2 linked regions of the Oreochromis niloticus genome follow. The protein of the gene in region 1 purifies or fractionates together with the protein of each later gene. This does not show direct contact. Links are inferred from orthologs where the notes say so. Each region holds a gene or a part of one and is shown in the gene's direction. Other genes may lie near its edges.

What was found. Proteins that work in one complex are often made in the same cells at the same time.
Region 2: the proteins of lrrk2 (region 1) and bag5 purify together in Homo sapiens (co-immunoprecipitation; 3 studies listed by BioGRID and IntAct, with this or other methods). This does not show direct contact. The link is inferred for Oreochromis niloticus from reciprocal best matches to the Homo sapiens genes LRRK2 and BAG5.

The regions. Positions count from the first base shown.
Region 1 is NC_031972.2:42,293,225-42,300,905, reverse strand, and holds the start of lrrk2 (leucine-rich repeat serine/threonine-protein kinase 2), read left to right. Parts: upstream 1-4,663; 5' UTR 4,664-5,240; coding exon 5,241-5,376; intron 5,377-6,085; coding exon 6,086-6,171; intron 6,172-6,546; coding exon 6,547-6,656; intron 6,657-7,681. Other genes in the region: proton myo-inositol cotransporter, read right to left, coding at 1-141, 344-813, 893-942. UniProt on the Homo sapiens protein: Serine/threonine-protein kinase which phosphorylates a broad range of proteins involved in multiple processes such as neuronal plasticity, innate immunity, autophagy, and vesicle trafficking.
Region 2 is NC_031983.2:6,396,811-6,404,240, forward strand, and holds the start of bag5 (BAG family molecular chaperone regulator 5), read left to right. Parts: upstream 1-4,411; 5' UTR 4,412-4,426; coding exon 4,427-4,533; intron 4,534-5,094; coding exon of another isoform or gene 5,095-5,229; exon of another isoform or gene 5,230-5,433; intron 5,434-5,883; exon of another isoform or gene 5,884-6,634; coding exon of another isoform or gene 6,635-6,657; intron 6,658-6,884; exon of another isoform or gene 6,885-7,102; coding exon of another isoform or gene 7,103-7,134; intron 7,135-7,430. Other genes in the region: coa8 (cytochrome c oxidase assembly factor 8), read right to left, coding at 706-826, 1,260-1,350, 2,360-2,423, 3,859-4,056, 5,095-5,229. UniProt on the Homo sapiens protein: Co-chaperone for HSP/HSP70 proteins. It functions as a nucleotide-exchange factor promoting the release of ADP from HSP70, thereby activating HSP70-mediated protein refolding.

The DNA.
Region 1 (7,681 bases):
GGTAGCTGAAAGCCCCATCAACCACACTGGCAATGAACTGGCCACCAGTGATAAAGAGGGAATTGATGGTGACCAGCTGACCTCGCAGGTGAGGAGGGGAAACTTCTGCGATGTACACAGGAACAGTCATGGAAGCAATGCCTAAAGGCAAGGAGGGGAACAGTTTCATGCTAATGTACAACAGATGCATTCCCACAGACAATTCATATTACATCCTAGCTCTGTGTTTGAATACGGCAAATATTGAATAATGAAAGTCAAACAAAGGGCTCCTTATAAGAAGCAAAATCATAATGGTGACTTTACCTCGATACAAGCTGTAGTGTTAAATAAAACAACTCACCTATGCCCAAACCAACTGTAATTCTGCCAACAAGGAGGACCACCTTGTCTGGGGCAAGACTCAAGATGATGCCACCGACAGTGAAGATAAAGCTGGCCACAAGGATACAGATCCTGCGCCCCAGCCACCCGTTCAGGTAGCCTCCACTCAGGGCAGAAAGCGCTGCAGCTCCCACAGTACTGGAAACCAGCAGCTCCTGCCACAGAGCATTCAGGTTCATTTCCTTCTTTAGGAGAATCATGGCTCCAGAAACCACTCCAGTGTCATACCCAAAGAGGAATCCCCCCAAGGCAGAGAAAAATGCCAACAAATAGACAAAAAGCGGCTTGGGGGCATCCTGGTCTAGGAGATTCTCATCCACATGCCTAGATGGAGGTCCTATGAGACTCCGCTCTCCATCGTCCCCGGCTTTCTGTCTCCTGCTGGCCATAAGGTTGCTCATGTGCTCCAAGCTGTACTCATCATAGCTGCTGGACATAGGAGAAACCAGAGGTTAAGCTCACCAGGGGTTGCAGGTCACCACTTTATTAAATAAGCCAGGTGACATACTTCTGTGAGGAAGTGGCGGTGACGTGTACATGGATGCAGTCATTTCCCATTAATACAGATTACAAAAAATAATCATTTTGTTGTTGTTGTCGTTTTCCCCCCAACAAAAAAATAGCAATATTTTCAGTGCCACACTTTCCGTTAACCTCTAAGTTAAAGTCCAAACCTGGGGGTGTTTTTAGGTGTCCAGCTCGAGAAAGCAACACGTCGTGATTTTAGCAGCTATACTAGCTAACTTTGATGACGACAACATTTCGTGACAAACTCCTGTGGTTAACCGAGCGCCAGATTCTGCTTGTGTCGCAGATTTCGGAGTCGCGCCGTGGGAAAGCTGCCTAAACAGTGTAGGTTGATGACTTTAAACAGACTTTAGATGTTTTTGTTCACCACTGACAGCGCTACTGCTTTGCTCTGCGTGCAGCCATGTTTGTGCGTGAGGTCACGTGCCCACCCGGCTACAAAAACAATGTTGTTTCTTTTTTTCAAACTGAGTGTTTACAATGTCCCTACAGCACCGTGCCAAACTCCATCCAAAATGTCATTTTTAACGAATTTGTGCTCAGCGGAGACTGTTGTGCACGTAAAACCAGAGTTGACAGCACATGTATTGTCTACTCGAAAATTCGGCAGAGATGTGAGCGAACAATTTTCATTCAGATTACTTTTTTCCCCATGTATATATTTTTCATTCATCTATTTTTCATTACTTTCATGTGTATTTCCGAATGTAACTTCTACTTCATTTATTCGTATAATGCTAAAAGTACGGAATGGTAAGTGACCCTTATGCCCCTCGTCCCCATAAGTTATCTGTTTGCAGTAAAGTCAAATAAGTCGCATTATTGGACTTTAGCCTGTCAGGTCACCTTAACTATCTGTGAAAAAACTCTACCATACCTGTAAAAAAGCTGCTTTCCTCCAGCGCACAGTGCTGCTGTCGATATGCTCTTCAACAAACAGGAAGTCTGTTATGTGGATCATATGATATTATCCCTGAAAAAAAAAACGTAAACACGCCCATTTGAACTGTAAAATGTAGCCCAACTGGTTCTTTTTATGGTAGTCGTGATTAATGAGCCAAGACAGCAAGAATTTGCACTGGCCACAAAACATGGCAAAGATTTTAACTGTGAGCACTTTATTATGCGCTATTAGTAAGTTTGGGCAGATTTAGATGGATACGTTTCGCGGAGGTAAATATTAACTATTACTTTAGAGAACAAACAGACACTTGACAGATAAAGACACGTTTTCCACCGGGCTTTCCTACATATAAATTGTGCAAAAAGCAAAACCCATCCAAATCGTGGTCTAATGTATACTTTAAAACACACTAAGCAGTCTTGAGTCCTACAATAAAATTTCAGGACTACAATCTCTAAACAACAAGTGACCGAATACAAAAAATATAACATACATCAACAATAGCATAACATGAATGCCCAGTGGTCACGTGAATAACACTGATTATGTGTTAGTGGGTGGGATATATTTGTGAAGGCTAAACAACTGAGTCAGAGCATCTCCAATACTAAACTGTTTAGGAGCAGTGTTAAATCAGCAACAAGGTCATGAGCCCTCAAGGCTCACTGATAGCCTACACATGGGGAGCAAAGAATGGTCTGTGTGGTCCGATTCAACAATTCATGCATGTTCTGATAGAAAGGTGTGGGAATACAAATGTTTTTTGTTTTTTTTGTTTGTTTGTTTTCTTTTGGGGGGGGGGGCAAGTAAACCAGAGACAACTCTGGTGATATCAGTCGCACAATTACAGTTTGAATCTTGGGGGGGGGGGGCATAATTAAGGTGGAGGTAAAAGATTTCTGGGAAAAGTGAAGTCATGAGTACCGACGAAGGTGCCAACAATGGATGCATGAGGATTAGAAATAGATTTAGAAGTTTCTCTTCCTTCTTTCTTTATTTAAGTAGTCTTTCAGAATAGTTTTGAATGATAAAAAAAAAAAACTGCTGAAAAGTGAAGATATTTAGGCATATCACTGGTTCATCCCCTACACTAAAATTACAAGAAAAAGTACAGTCTAACTTTCAGTCTTCCTCCTGTGATCGATGACGTTTCTTTTATCTGCAGACATTTTTAAAAATGAGCCGTGGGGTTGTACCCAATGCTAAATACAGGAAAAATAAGATATGACCACGATGTCAAGCTGATATTCTGTGCTCACCGACTCTCATCCAATCCTCAAATCAGATGGTGCTCTCCTTGCCAGGGAACAGCTGGACCTGAACCACAGCTTCCAGGGATACTGGACGTACCTAGACTATAACATAGTTTGTACTTGTGTTATATAACTTAAACAACATAGTTTTGTCAATGATTTCTTGTTTTAGCCTCACACTCATTTACTTTCCTCTCTGTGGGAGAAAAAGGTCCACCCTTCACACAAGTGTCCAGAACATAGGGCCACAGGTCTGATGATACAATTACAAAATTGATCATCAACCTGCAGCCTAGGGTCTCTTATTGCCATGTGCAATTATAGACACCCTTATGTTTGAACATGGTCTTTGTTATCGACAATTTCTGGTTTGCACAGAAGTCTAGTAATAGAACATCACTCTGGTTCACATCTGGCAGGCCGTTCCTCCCAATCACGCGCCTCCGGGTCTCACTGTTGTTGCCCACATGAGCGTTGAAGTCTCCCAGTAAGACGACAGAGTCCCCAGGTGGAGCACCCCCAGGCACACCACCTAGGGACTCCAAGAAGGCCGGGTACTCTGAACCTTCGTTTGGTGCACGGGCGCAGACGACAGCCAGGACCCATTCTCCAACTCAAAGGTCCAGGGAACAAACCCTCTCATCCACCAGGAAAAACTCCAACTTATAGGCAGCAAGCCAAGCGGATGCTAACATATTCTGACCAAATTGTTTCCAATTTTCCACATTAGGTACAAAGCAACACTGAAAAAGCTTTTACTTTGGAAGCCAAATCATATTGCAAAAAAACAGCAATACAGTGTAACTCTAACAAGTGGGGATGGGTGCATTGATGCAAATATTGAAAGTACTGATCCCAGCATTGATATTGCTCCTGCTTCATGAAAAAGTATTAACGTCTGTGCAAACACCGGTCCTTTCAGGCAGCCACACTTTGCTCCACCCTCACCTCCTCCCTGTGGTTTGTTGCTGTGGAGTCACATGACTTAGGTGCACCTGGTGTCGAGATATTTATAGCTGTAAATGAAAACACTGCAAACAGCGATGCATGTAGGAATTTCTCCACTATGACTTTATTGTGTCACAACTAGACAACAGTGGCAGTACAGATTAAAAGTATACAGTTTTACTGTTGTTTACATTCAGTGATGCCACCTAGTTATGTTAATTCTATGTGGAGCTGCTGGTGTGGTGGGATTTTTGAGTTGAGGGGGCATTCCACAAAATATTTCTCACCGGGAATTCGGAACTTCCGACTTATTCAGGAACACAGCATTAAAAAAAACAAAGTATCGATCATATTACCTATTATCGATTCAATACCAATACAAGCTTTGGTATCGATCCGCTCACCCCTACTATACAGGGGTGATTACTTTGGGAGGACACCTAATTTAGAGACTAACTGAAATAATTAAAAAATATTTTAGAGTTTGCTTTAGTGTGGGAATTTTCCTCCATCATACACAGCAAATGTCAGTGCCAGGTCAAGCTGCATTGTTGTAAATCTGTAAATCAGCAACTGGCATTAGACGCAGAGTGGGAGGGCTCACTGAAGCCACTCGTTAGCCTGTAAAAGTGTAGCCTGAAGTAAAAAACAAAAAAACAAACAACAAAAAAACCGTTGGGGGGTAACGTAATAGCCGCTTGACTTGGCTCTCTGTCTGACTTGCTTCCCCTGCCAGAGAGAAAGTCGGATTCTCTCTGACTCTATTTTCAGCTTCCTCTTCTGTAAGCGGGGAGTTTTTACTGCCTGCAGTCATATGATGCGATCGTAGGAAAGCAGGAACACGCCTTTCAGAGAGGACTCGCTTCGTTTTCACATCCAAGCAACATAAAATCACCGACTCCGCAAAGAGGAACTTATTCTCTGCCACAGGAAAGTTAGCCGAGGACTGTGATGTCGGAACCGAAACTCCGCGACACTGACCGCTTCCCTTGTAGCGACAGCCACTTATAGCTGTCTGTAGCTACTGTATTATTATGCAACACAGCAATTCAGTAATGTTTTGTAAAGACATGAGTAACTACAGTGGATTTTCAGTGAGTTATTTATACGCTAATGCTGCGCTCAGTGTGGCCGCTCGAAGGCCGTTGTCGGTTCTGAGAGAGCGCAGTGATTGACCTCAATGCACGTCAAGTCGTCAGCTGGAACACCGCACTTTAAAGACCATGGTTAACAAAGAGGAGCTGGAAGAAAGGCTGAAAAAACTTTTGGTGAGGCTGAAAACTCCCCAGGAAGACAGGCAACTGTGCACGCTGATTCAAATCATCCAGGATCTGCTTTTCCTGGCGCACACCGACTATGGTAGGAAGCACATTGTTTCAGCGTGTGCATCATCACGCTGCTCATAAACAGCCATCATTTCCTTTTGGCATTTTTTCATTGCCTTATGAGAATTAGGTCAGATTAAAGTTTTTTTATTCAATCAAGTAGTATTTGCCCAGTGTGAAATGTGATATGACACTCACTACTTTTGCATGATCGTTTTTATGGTTTTATTTATTTCAGCCCACAATGTAATTCACTCTTCTTGGTTTTTGTTTGTTTGTTTGTTTTTTAACTCTGATCCTTTTGTGCATTTTTTCCCTTCCATCCTTCCATCTTCTAGTCTATTGATGCTGTATTTATTTGTTCATATGGTCTACTTTAAGGTTTGTTATACAGCAGGTTAATGATTTAGCTGTTTTGAGTAATTTCCCAGTTTTGGCGATAAATAAAGCATATCTTATCTTAAATACAAAACATAATGTCTTTGGGGTCATACTAAGGCCATTATAGTTTACTTAAAACTAGGTGTGAAAACACATTCAAGTTACCTGAAATCAAATTTAAAATGGGATTGACTTAGATTTGTAGATTTTAAGCACAGACTTGTACCTGCACAATGAAGCCCTGCTGTAATGCTGCCTTGTTATGCACATTTAAAAATAGGAATGAGGGTAAAAGACCCAGTCACTCTATTCAAAACTAATGGGACTCATCGTGTCTTCTTATCTCTTGTTCCATGTTGTAGCAGCTGAACTGTTTGAAGACAAAGATGTCCACGTGCCCCTCGTGCTGGTTCTGTCTACCCACATCAGCAGCAGAGGAGTCCAGCAGGTAATGAATGACACAACAAGAATTAGCCATTATTATGGCAGGTGGTGCTATCTGGGTGAGGTGAGGTGTGTTCAGCAGCATCACTCGCTAAAACAGCCTCAGCTCTTTGTTGTTGACAAATCATCTGTGGACTGACGCACCTATACATCTAGCATGTCTTGTGACTGACGTGTAATGCTAATTATCAGAGGTAAGACTGCATATTGAAGCAAACTGAAAGTGAGATTGTAAGATTCATATATGGCAGCAGGTTGTGGCGCTCTTTCTCAGTACTGTAATGTGTATGCTTGAGATCAGAATCATTACTTTTCATTGGTTTATTATAATGACTCATTCCCGTCATTTTAATAAATTGTTTGTTCTTCCTTTTTACAGGTTGGCTGGTCATTGCTGTGTCAGCTGATTGAAATATGCCCCACTACACTGGACCAGTTAACCAGACCTTTGGATGAAGCCCAAGAGTGGGAGGTAGAGGGAGTGCACCAGTAAGTGAAGACTCTCTGGCAGCTGTGGGCTTGATGCAGCACCACTCATTTAAATGAATGACTATCATGATGGCTCATGCCACACGAAGGTACATGAAGTATGTAGCCGTGGTCAAGACAACCTGCTCAAGTTCAAATCAAGCATTAAAATTGGAAGGAAAGGTGATTGGAGTGACTTTGAATGTTGCATGTTGTTGCTGTTGGTTCCAGATGGGCTGGGCTGAGTAATTCATAAACTGCTGGGTTTTTCCCACAGAACAATCTCTAGGGTTTACAGGGAGTGGTTCAAAGAAAAAATGTCCAGTGAACGGCAGTTCTCTGGGCAAAAACCCCTTGTTTATACCAAAGGTCAGATGACAGTAGTCAGACTTTATAGTAAGGCAAACAGTAACTCCAAAAACAACTTGGCACTATCAAGTTATGCAGTAGAGCATCTCTGAATGTTCTTCTGAGATGCACAGCAGAGATGCACAACATGTTGAACGCTGAAACAGCTACAGGGGCAGCAGACTGCACTGGGTGTCACTCCTGTCAACCAAGAACAGGAAACTAATGCTACAGTTAAAACAATCTTGTCAAAATTGGACGACAGAAAACTGGAAAAACGTTACCTGCTGTGATGTGGCTTGATTTCTGCTGCGACGTTCAAATGTGAGGGTCAGAGTTTGGGATAAACTGCATGAATGCATGGATCCATCCTGCCTTGTAGCAACTGTTCAGGCTGGTAGTGGCGAAATGGTTGTAATGCCACAGCGTAACCGAGTATGGTTGCTGATCATGTTCATCCTTTTATGACCAGTGTGCCCATCATCTTTAACACAACTGTGCACCATGTATAAGCTCAAATCATCCCAATCTGGTTTCTTGAACACAACAATGCCTATGCTGAACTTTAAATGACCTCCACAGTCACCAGTTCTCAGCCTGGTAGGACTCCTCTGGGATGTGGTGGAATAGGAGATTCGAGTCATGGTAAATCTCAAGGCAAAAAGGGGACTAACGGCCTGTGAGTGTAATTTCATTTG
Region 2 (7,430 bases), on another chromosome or scaffold:
ACATTCCAGCTCTCAAAAAATATTTACACCAAATGATTAATCTGGAAAATAACTATCCATCCATCTTCTGTTTAGGGGTTGCAGGAGGCTGGAGCCTTTCCCAGCTATCATAGGGCGAAAGGCGGGGTACATCCTGGATGGGTAGCTTGTCTGTCCCAGGTCTTATACAGAGACAGATAACCATTTACACTCACATTCACGCCTATGGGCCTTTTAGAATCCCCAGTTAAACATGATTTCAGTTTGTTCTTTGCTTGATTTAAAAAATGAAATAATTAGTTTTAATATGTTTTTGACAAAGTTCTTAAACTTTAATTTCTTGTATTTATTGTAGGTGGTCAGCACCGATCTCACTGGTTATCACAGGTTGTCTTTGTTTTGACACAAACTGGGCGTAACAGTTAAATCTGCTTTATAATGTATCTATAATCCCCGCCCCAAGAAAAAACCAAAAACCCTCTTGACCAAAGAGACCGTGACATAACAATCCACACTTTTAACTATTAAAAAAAGATGAAAACTATTAATTAATTAATTAAAAAGAAATACCTCACATGTTTTGCTTTGTTTTATTTTTTCCAGAATAATTTACAGTCATTTGCAGAGCCTGAATAAACATGAAGCAGTAACAGAAGTGCACAAAAATATAGCCAAGGCATTTGATATTTTGACAGGAGGGTGGGGGTGTGTGTATTTTCTTTGCTATCAGCTGGTAGGAGTGCCGTTTTTCTTGCTGCTCTGTCTTTCCGTAACTGTCCTCCACATACTGTTTAGGGTGACTCGAGCCATGAGCAAGGTGATGGTAAAGTTACGTCTGTACCATTCCCTGGATACACAAAAAACAGAATGTTTCACTTTGCACAGTGTAATAAATGTGCTGATATAAAGATTCAAACAGGGAAATGCACAATAACACCAGAAGGGAGAAAAGGGAAACATTTGTGCTTTGACGGAGTTTAAATTGAAACAATAATAAATATAACAATCAAAAGTTAGAGATTAAATCCCACGCATGCTACTGAGGTGATGTGTGTGGGCGGAAAGCTTTGCCAACATGAAGACAAGTCAGCCACTTTGCATTGCTAATTCACACAAAACTTCTTCATAGCCTGTGAGGTTTGTTGTTCTTTGCAGATGAGGTGATACAGTGCAGTTAAAGCTCACAGCTGCTGCAGAGGGACATGTACCAACCCAACCACCCACCCACCCACCCACTCACTTACCCACCCAGCGGCATCATGGGAGACAAAACAACTCACTTGTTGTAATTTGCATGTCGTACTCTGTTTTTGTCCAGGAAGTTTTTGTAAAACGTGGCCATCTCTTCGCTGCTCAGGGACCGCCGTCGTCCTGAGGGAAGACACAGCAGACTGTGTTATATTCTCATTAGGATACATCTCCCCTGCAATTCACCAGCTGTTAGAAAAACAAACTGCTGTTTACTGTGCCTCCTGAGGAGCAGGCTACGAAGCAAGTTCGACAAAGCCAGGGTTTCTTTGTGTTGGCTGACTTGACCAAAAAACCTCAGTCAGAGATAGCAGGCATCACAACAGTGGTTATTAACTCTCTCTGGTAACCCCGGCTTTCTGTGCTCACATAAAAAGGGCTGTTTGATGTGTTTTTTGACACTTCAGACAGCACAGAATGGATCAGCTGAGCACCACCTACCCCAATCAGAGACATTATCACATGAATGGGGGATAGAGATCTATTAAGAATGTTAAATAAATGCAGTAAAATGCAACCCTGGTGCTGAAAGTACGAGTAATGCTGCAGAAAATTGTTAATTTAGTGATTTGATCATCACAAGAGCTGAGAGCTTAGCTTCAATGTTTATCTCTGATGTCAGAGCCACACATCGGTGCTCTCGCTGTGTTCAGCTCTGACAAGTCACCCACAGCCTACACAGCCTAACAAAGGAGACGTGGGAATTACTTTCGTTTCTCACAAGATCAGAGTGAAAATCATTTATTGTCCAAATAAGTTTTCTTGGTGATAAAAATCAAATAAATCTAATGATAAACTGCAGTCTTAAGCTCTACAGACTGCAAATATATGTATTCATCCAGCAGAGAATCAATATTGTGTTTACAAGACACTGTAACTAAAAGAATTTGTGAAAACTTTAAATCGAAACTCTAAAAATAAACTGGTACAAACCAGGTTATGTGTTCAGCATAAGTTACCATGGTGATCTAGCCAGGTATAAAGGAGCCACCTTCACTTACATCAAGGTCGACTTACATCACTCACCCAGTAATCTTGCTTCATAGTACACCCATCTGAGCTGGTTAAAAACTGCCTAAGTGCAAACCCAACCAACAATGTGAAATATTCAGAAAAGGCTGCATGTCCTCACCGTCCTCATCACGCAGAGTCAAGCCTTTTGCCTTCAGTTGTGAAATGATAAAAGCTTCTTTTTCCTGCAGACAGTGTAAAAAAAACAAACAACAAACAAACCTTTTAAGCTTTAACTGTAATTTTAAATGAGGTCATTCTTAAAATTAATTAAAGGGTCGTTAAATCAGATTTGGACTGGGGTCCACATAAAACCTACAGTTTTCCTCACTGTTTCCTCACTGTAATCTCTTACATAGCTGGGCCCTAACAGAACACATTAGTTGTACAATGCTCCCCTCTACTGGTGAAATGATTTTACACACGTACGAGCTCAGCACGCAGAGATTAATTACATCCACTGCTATTACAGTCTCCATTAATAATGATGGAAATGACAGCATGATGCTAATGCAAGTAGGAAGCTGGCAGGGAAGATAATGCAGTTAGTGGACTTTATCTTGTGTTTAATTTAATTTCCATTTTATTTTTAAGAAAAGTGAACTAACAAGCCGACAGGGATCGCTCACCCGGTTTTGTTTTGTAACAGCTACAGATGAATTTTCTTCTAATATCAGTTTGCTTAATTGGATTTTAAGCGGCAGTACGGCATACCTGCATATGAAATAAATAGCAGCAGTAGCAGGACAATGTGAATCATCATAAATAAATATTAAACTGTAATAAATTGGAAGACATCATCTTGATATTCTCAGGACAACATCACAAACAAATTCTTCTGGATGCACACTTTCACTTCATCCCTCATGTGCAATTTAGGAATTTAATTTAGGAGTAACCTTCAGTTTCTCTACAAAGACTAAAGACTCCACTTCCTCTGTAGCTAAAGGTTTTCTTGGAGCACATCAACTTCCCACTCTTATTCATACTCTGAAATCACCTGCCCCACAATGAACCAACAACCGCTTCTATGCCTGCTTTACACCACCCACCACCTTTCAGCTTATTTTCAGAAGGGCAGAACAGCCAGCAAAGTCTTAACTGATGATCTAACTAGCCTTAAATGAGTTTTATTCTCTTCCAAACTGCATGTCAGGTGCTCAGATGACTTAAAAGAACCAATTTTACCACAACTTTCTATTTTTCTATGAAAATATCGACATCTCAGGAGGGATGTCGACTCACTCCTCTTTACAGAAACTGCAGCTTGGCAACTCAAGGGTAAAGCTTGAGTGTTTTGTTTTTGGGATTTGGGGATATTCTGTCTCCATAAAATGAAGCTACCATAAAACGTGAGAAAACGTATAAATAAAGCAGGGGATCGAATTAATTTCCCCACTGTATCTTTGTCAGTTTCCATCTCAAGAGTTAAAAGCAGCACTATGCATGCTTCTCTCTCTCTCTACACTGTGCTCCCTATTTTTAGACAATACCCACCTTACTCTCCACATGGACTGGCTTTTCACCCCACCTACAAATGAGACTTCTGATAGATAAACTAGCTTTCAGAGGCCAGTCCCTGACCCCAGAAAAACACTTTGTAAAAAGTATTTCAGTAACCTTGCTGAAGGTGATGTTCTGCTTGGCCCAGAAGTTGTGGTTCCAGTCCTCTGTCTCCTGCCTCAGGTTTCTCAGTCGTTTCTCCAGCTCTGTTTCATTGTCCGGGATGTGGTAAATAATTGGCCGTAGGTTGGAGAGCGGGTTTGGTGGACCGACCCAGTCATGTGTGGAGCTGGGTTCTGGTCTATATGTAGATCTCTATGTAAAAGAAGAAGAAGAAACTACTGTAATGATGGGTTCAGACAGCACAGTGTCCGCACAAAAATAACTTAGTGGGAAAGATACAGGGTGTTAACACAAAAGTTGAGCGTGGAATTGCAGGTGACAACAGTCAGAAGGCTGAAGATGTCCCAAATTTCACCTATGCAAACCCCATATGACAGCGATGAGCTCATCAGACACAAATACCATGTAGTTTGAATTCCACATGCAAAGTTAGCATCACCAACGCAGCCACATCCGCACTGATGAGAAATGCACCGGGCAGCTATCATCTGGAAGTCAAGTTTAAAGACAGTCTGCTAAAGACTGAAACTCCACACAGCAGATGCACATCACGTGGCTTTAAATGAAAAGTGACCTACACCAGACAGCTTATCATTACCCAGCAGACTTCAAGACGGAAAGAGCAGCGAGGAATAAAAAACGCTCCAGGGCTAAGAGACGAAAACAGAGGTAAAACAATCCAAATGCAAAACATTGTGTCAGCAAATTCAGTCTGATTACTGACAGGCATATCAATGCACGTTTATATGTAAAGTAGATGTATTTACATTTTTAAAGAAATACTATATTATTAAACAGTTATTATTAAACGTCTGCAGTCACAAACTCCAACAAATGCATGTAATTTTGAAACGGTTAAAAAATGAAATCTAAGAAGATGTATTGCTGGAAACTTTAGGTCTTAAAATATAACTTTAAACCATAATATTTTAAATTGTTCTCCATTATTTTCCTACAAATATTTATACTACAACTGTATCATTAAAACAGACGTAACACCGATTTAACCCTAATAATGTCTAAAGCACTGCAATATATTTTTGTGAACAACACTTTATTTCCTGCAACGTTTAAAAAAAAAAATCAGCTTATTTCGTACACACGTCTTTAATGTGGGCATAAAAAAATGGCGCCACACGTGATCGTCAACAACAACAACAGCCGTCTATAGCTATCAAATGGCAGCCCTTTAAACCGTGTATAAATGTAATAAATTGTCATTATACAAACCTTTACTGGCTTGTCCTTCTGGGTTGCCTGTTTGGAGCTGCACAGCCGACTGCTACCTGCAGATAAGCGGAGACTGAAAGGACAGAAGCTCCTCCATATCGACCGTCTCGCAGCTGCAGCTGTCCTGGCGGCCATTTTTAGTAACCGACTAAAAACGGCGACTTAAATAAAACAAATCACGCTAAAAACCATTAAACAGCACAGGACTGAGCTCGAGGACACAACCAAACTTTCACTAAGCTCGTGCCCTTCTGTGTGCGCTGGCTGCCATTTGGTCACGTGAGCCCAACAAGGCGCATGGATGCGCTCGGCAATCTCACCGGTAAATCCCGGATTCACTTAAAAACGACAACAGAAAACATTTCGCAATGAAGGGTCGAAAGGTTTCTTGTCAGTTAAGGATATTCTTTAAATGTAAGACTACAGAAAGAGCATAAACACAAATGTGGGGAATAAATATATGTCTATGTTGTCTATTTGTTTATTTATTTAAGCTTAAGTCACATTTGTTTCCTCATTAAAAAATAAACGAAATGAAAAAAACTGGCTGTAGGATTAAAAGAAAAAAAACAAACAGATGTCAACCAAATTAGATGTTAGGAATATATAAATCCAGTCACCATGGAGCCAAAATCCCCACTCTATTTATTTTTCCTTAGCTGCAGCCCTTCCTATGTATTTTTATTGTTATTATTATTGTTATTGTTATTATTATTATTTTGTTGTTTACTACTTCTAATGCTATATTTCTAATACTGTATTTATAGACTATATTTCTTCTAATAATTATATTTCAGTGGTAAATGTTGCATTTTTACAGCAGAGTCAGGTGTAGAGGGGAGCTGAGCTGAGGATAACAGGCTGAGGAGGAGGAGGAGGTTTGCCTGGGTCCTGCTTGGAGCAGACGAAGTTGAGCAGGGCTAAACGTAGCTTGATAAATATCATTATTGTCTAATTAAACTTGAACACCACATGGATTATCTGTATAGGTTTCGGTATTAGTACTTTTGCTCTCACAAAGTATCTGAATGCCTATTCCGTTCGGTTATTGAATTGTTGGAGATGCTAGATTGTTAGATTTTTTTTTACTACATAATAAATAATGCTCGTCAATCTTTTTTGTTAACTAAGTTAAATAGACTAAAGTAAAAGTTAAACAGTAGCAAAGCCAGGGTTTATCTTAGCACCGGTAAACGACACGGAGTCACGACCAAATGAAGCGCGCCTATTGTTGGCCGACCAAAATTTGCACAAGGTTAAAAATAATAAAGCTGTTCATCCGAATATTAACACGATTATGCGATTTATTTTACATTTGTATATACGTGTCGTGCGATAACTAAACATCGACTTGTATTTCTTATTTGTTAACATCAATAAAACACTGATGTAATGGCGTCTCTTTAATATTAGCAAGGAAACACAAACTCCGTGTTAGTTCATATCCTCACGAACTGTAAAGTAAGTACTCGAAGGTAGCTAGGTAGGCTAATGTTTAGCTTTAGTCACAGGAGGTGCGCACTTTTCCGCAACAGTTCCGATGGCTGTACGCTGGCTATGCAGGTAAGAGCGAAACTGTTAAAGAGAGGTGGCGGTGTTGATGTATTCACACTGAAAAGCCAGAGTTATTTGGCTGAGGTGTGGCTGTGTCAGGTGATCATCAGTAGCTAGCTTAACACACTAACAATGGTATTCACAGAGGAGTGTCTGCTGTAAACCGGTTTTTGTAATGGCTGTTTCCATTTAAGCGTTTCATGAGTCCTTGGTAGCATATTTATTTTTAAATTAAGTTGTTTTAAAGGGCAGCGGAGGAAGAAATCTGGTGGTAGAGGCTGTGGGAGGGGCGACAGCAGCCCGACCGCAGTCAGTCAGTCACAGTCAGTCGCTGGATACTGAAGCTGACCGCAGGAGAATCGAGATCTTCCGGATTTCGGCTTTATCCCTTTGGATGCCTCTTTCCTGCACGAGCCGCCCAGCATTTGGCTGATGGAAACAGACATCCGTGAAAATGTGCGCGAATGTGTTCGGGGTTTTGAAAAGGTGAGAGGAATGCTGCTGCTGTGTGTGTGTATGTATCTATCTGTGTGTGTATGTGTGCGTGTGTGCACGAGAGAGAAAGGATGCAGCTGACAGTATCTGGAGATGCTTTGAGCCGTTTTGTCGAGATCTGGAGGTGTGGTATCTGTGCTTCTTGTAGCGCAGCTCCGGCAACATACATGGGCTCTCAGAGGTAGATGCGTTCGCACGCAGGCGGCGGGACGGGATTTTCTGCGGTGACATAATGCGCAAAGCCGTGCAGGAGGACCGGCAAGCATGCAGGCAGCCGGGGATGGAGC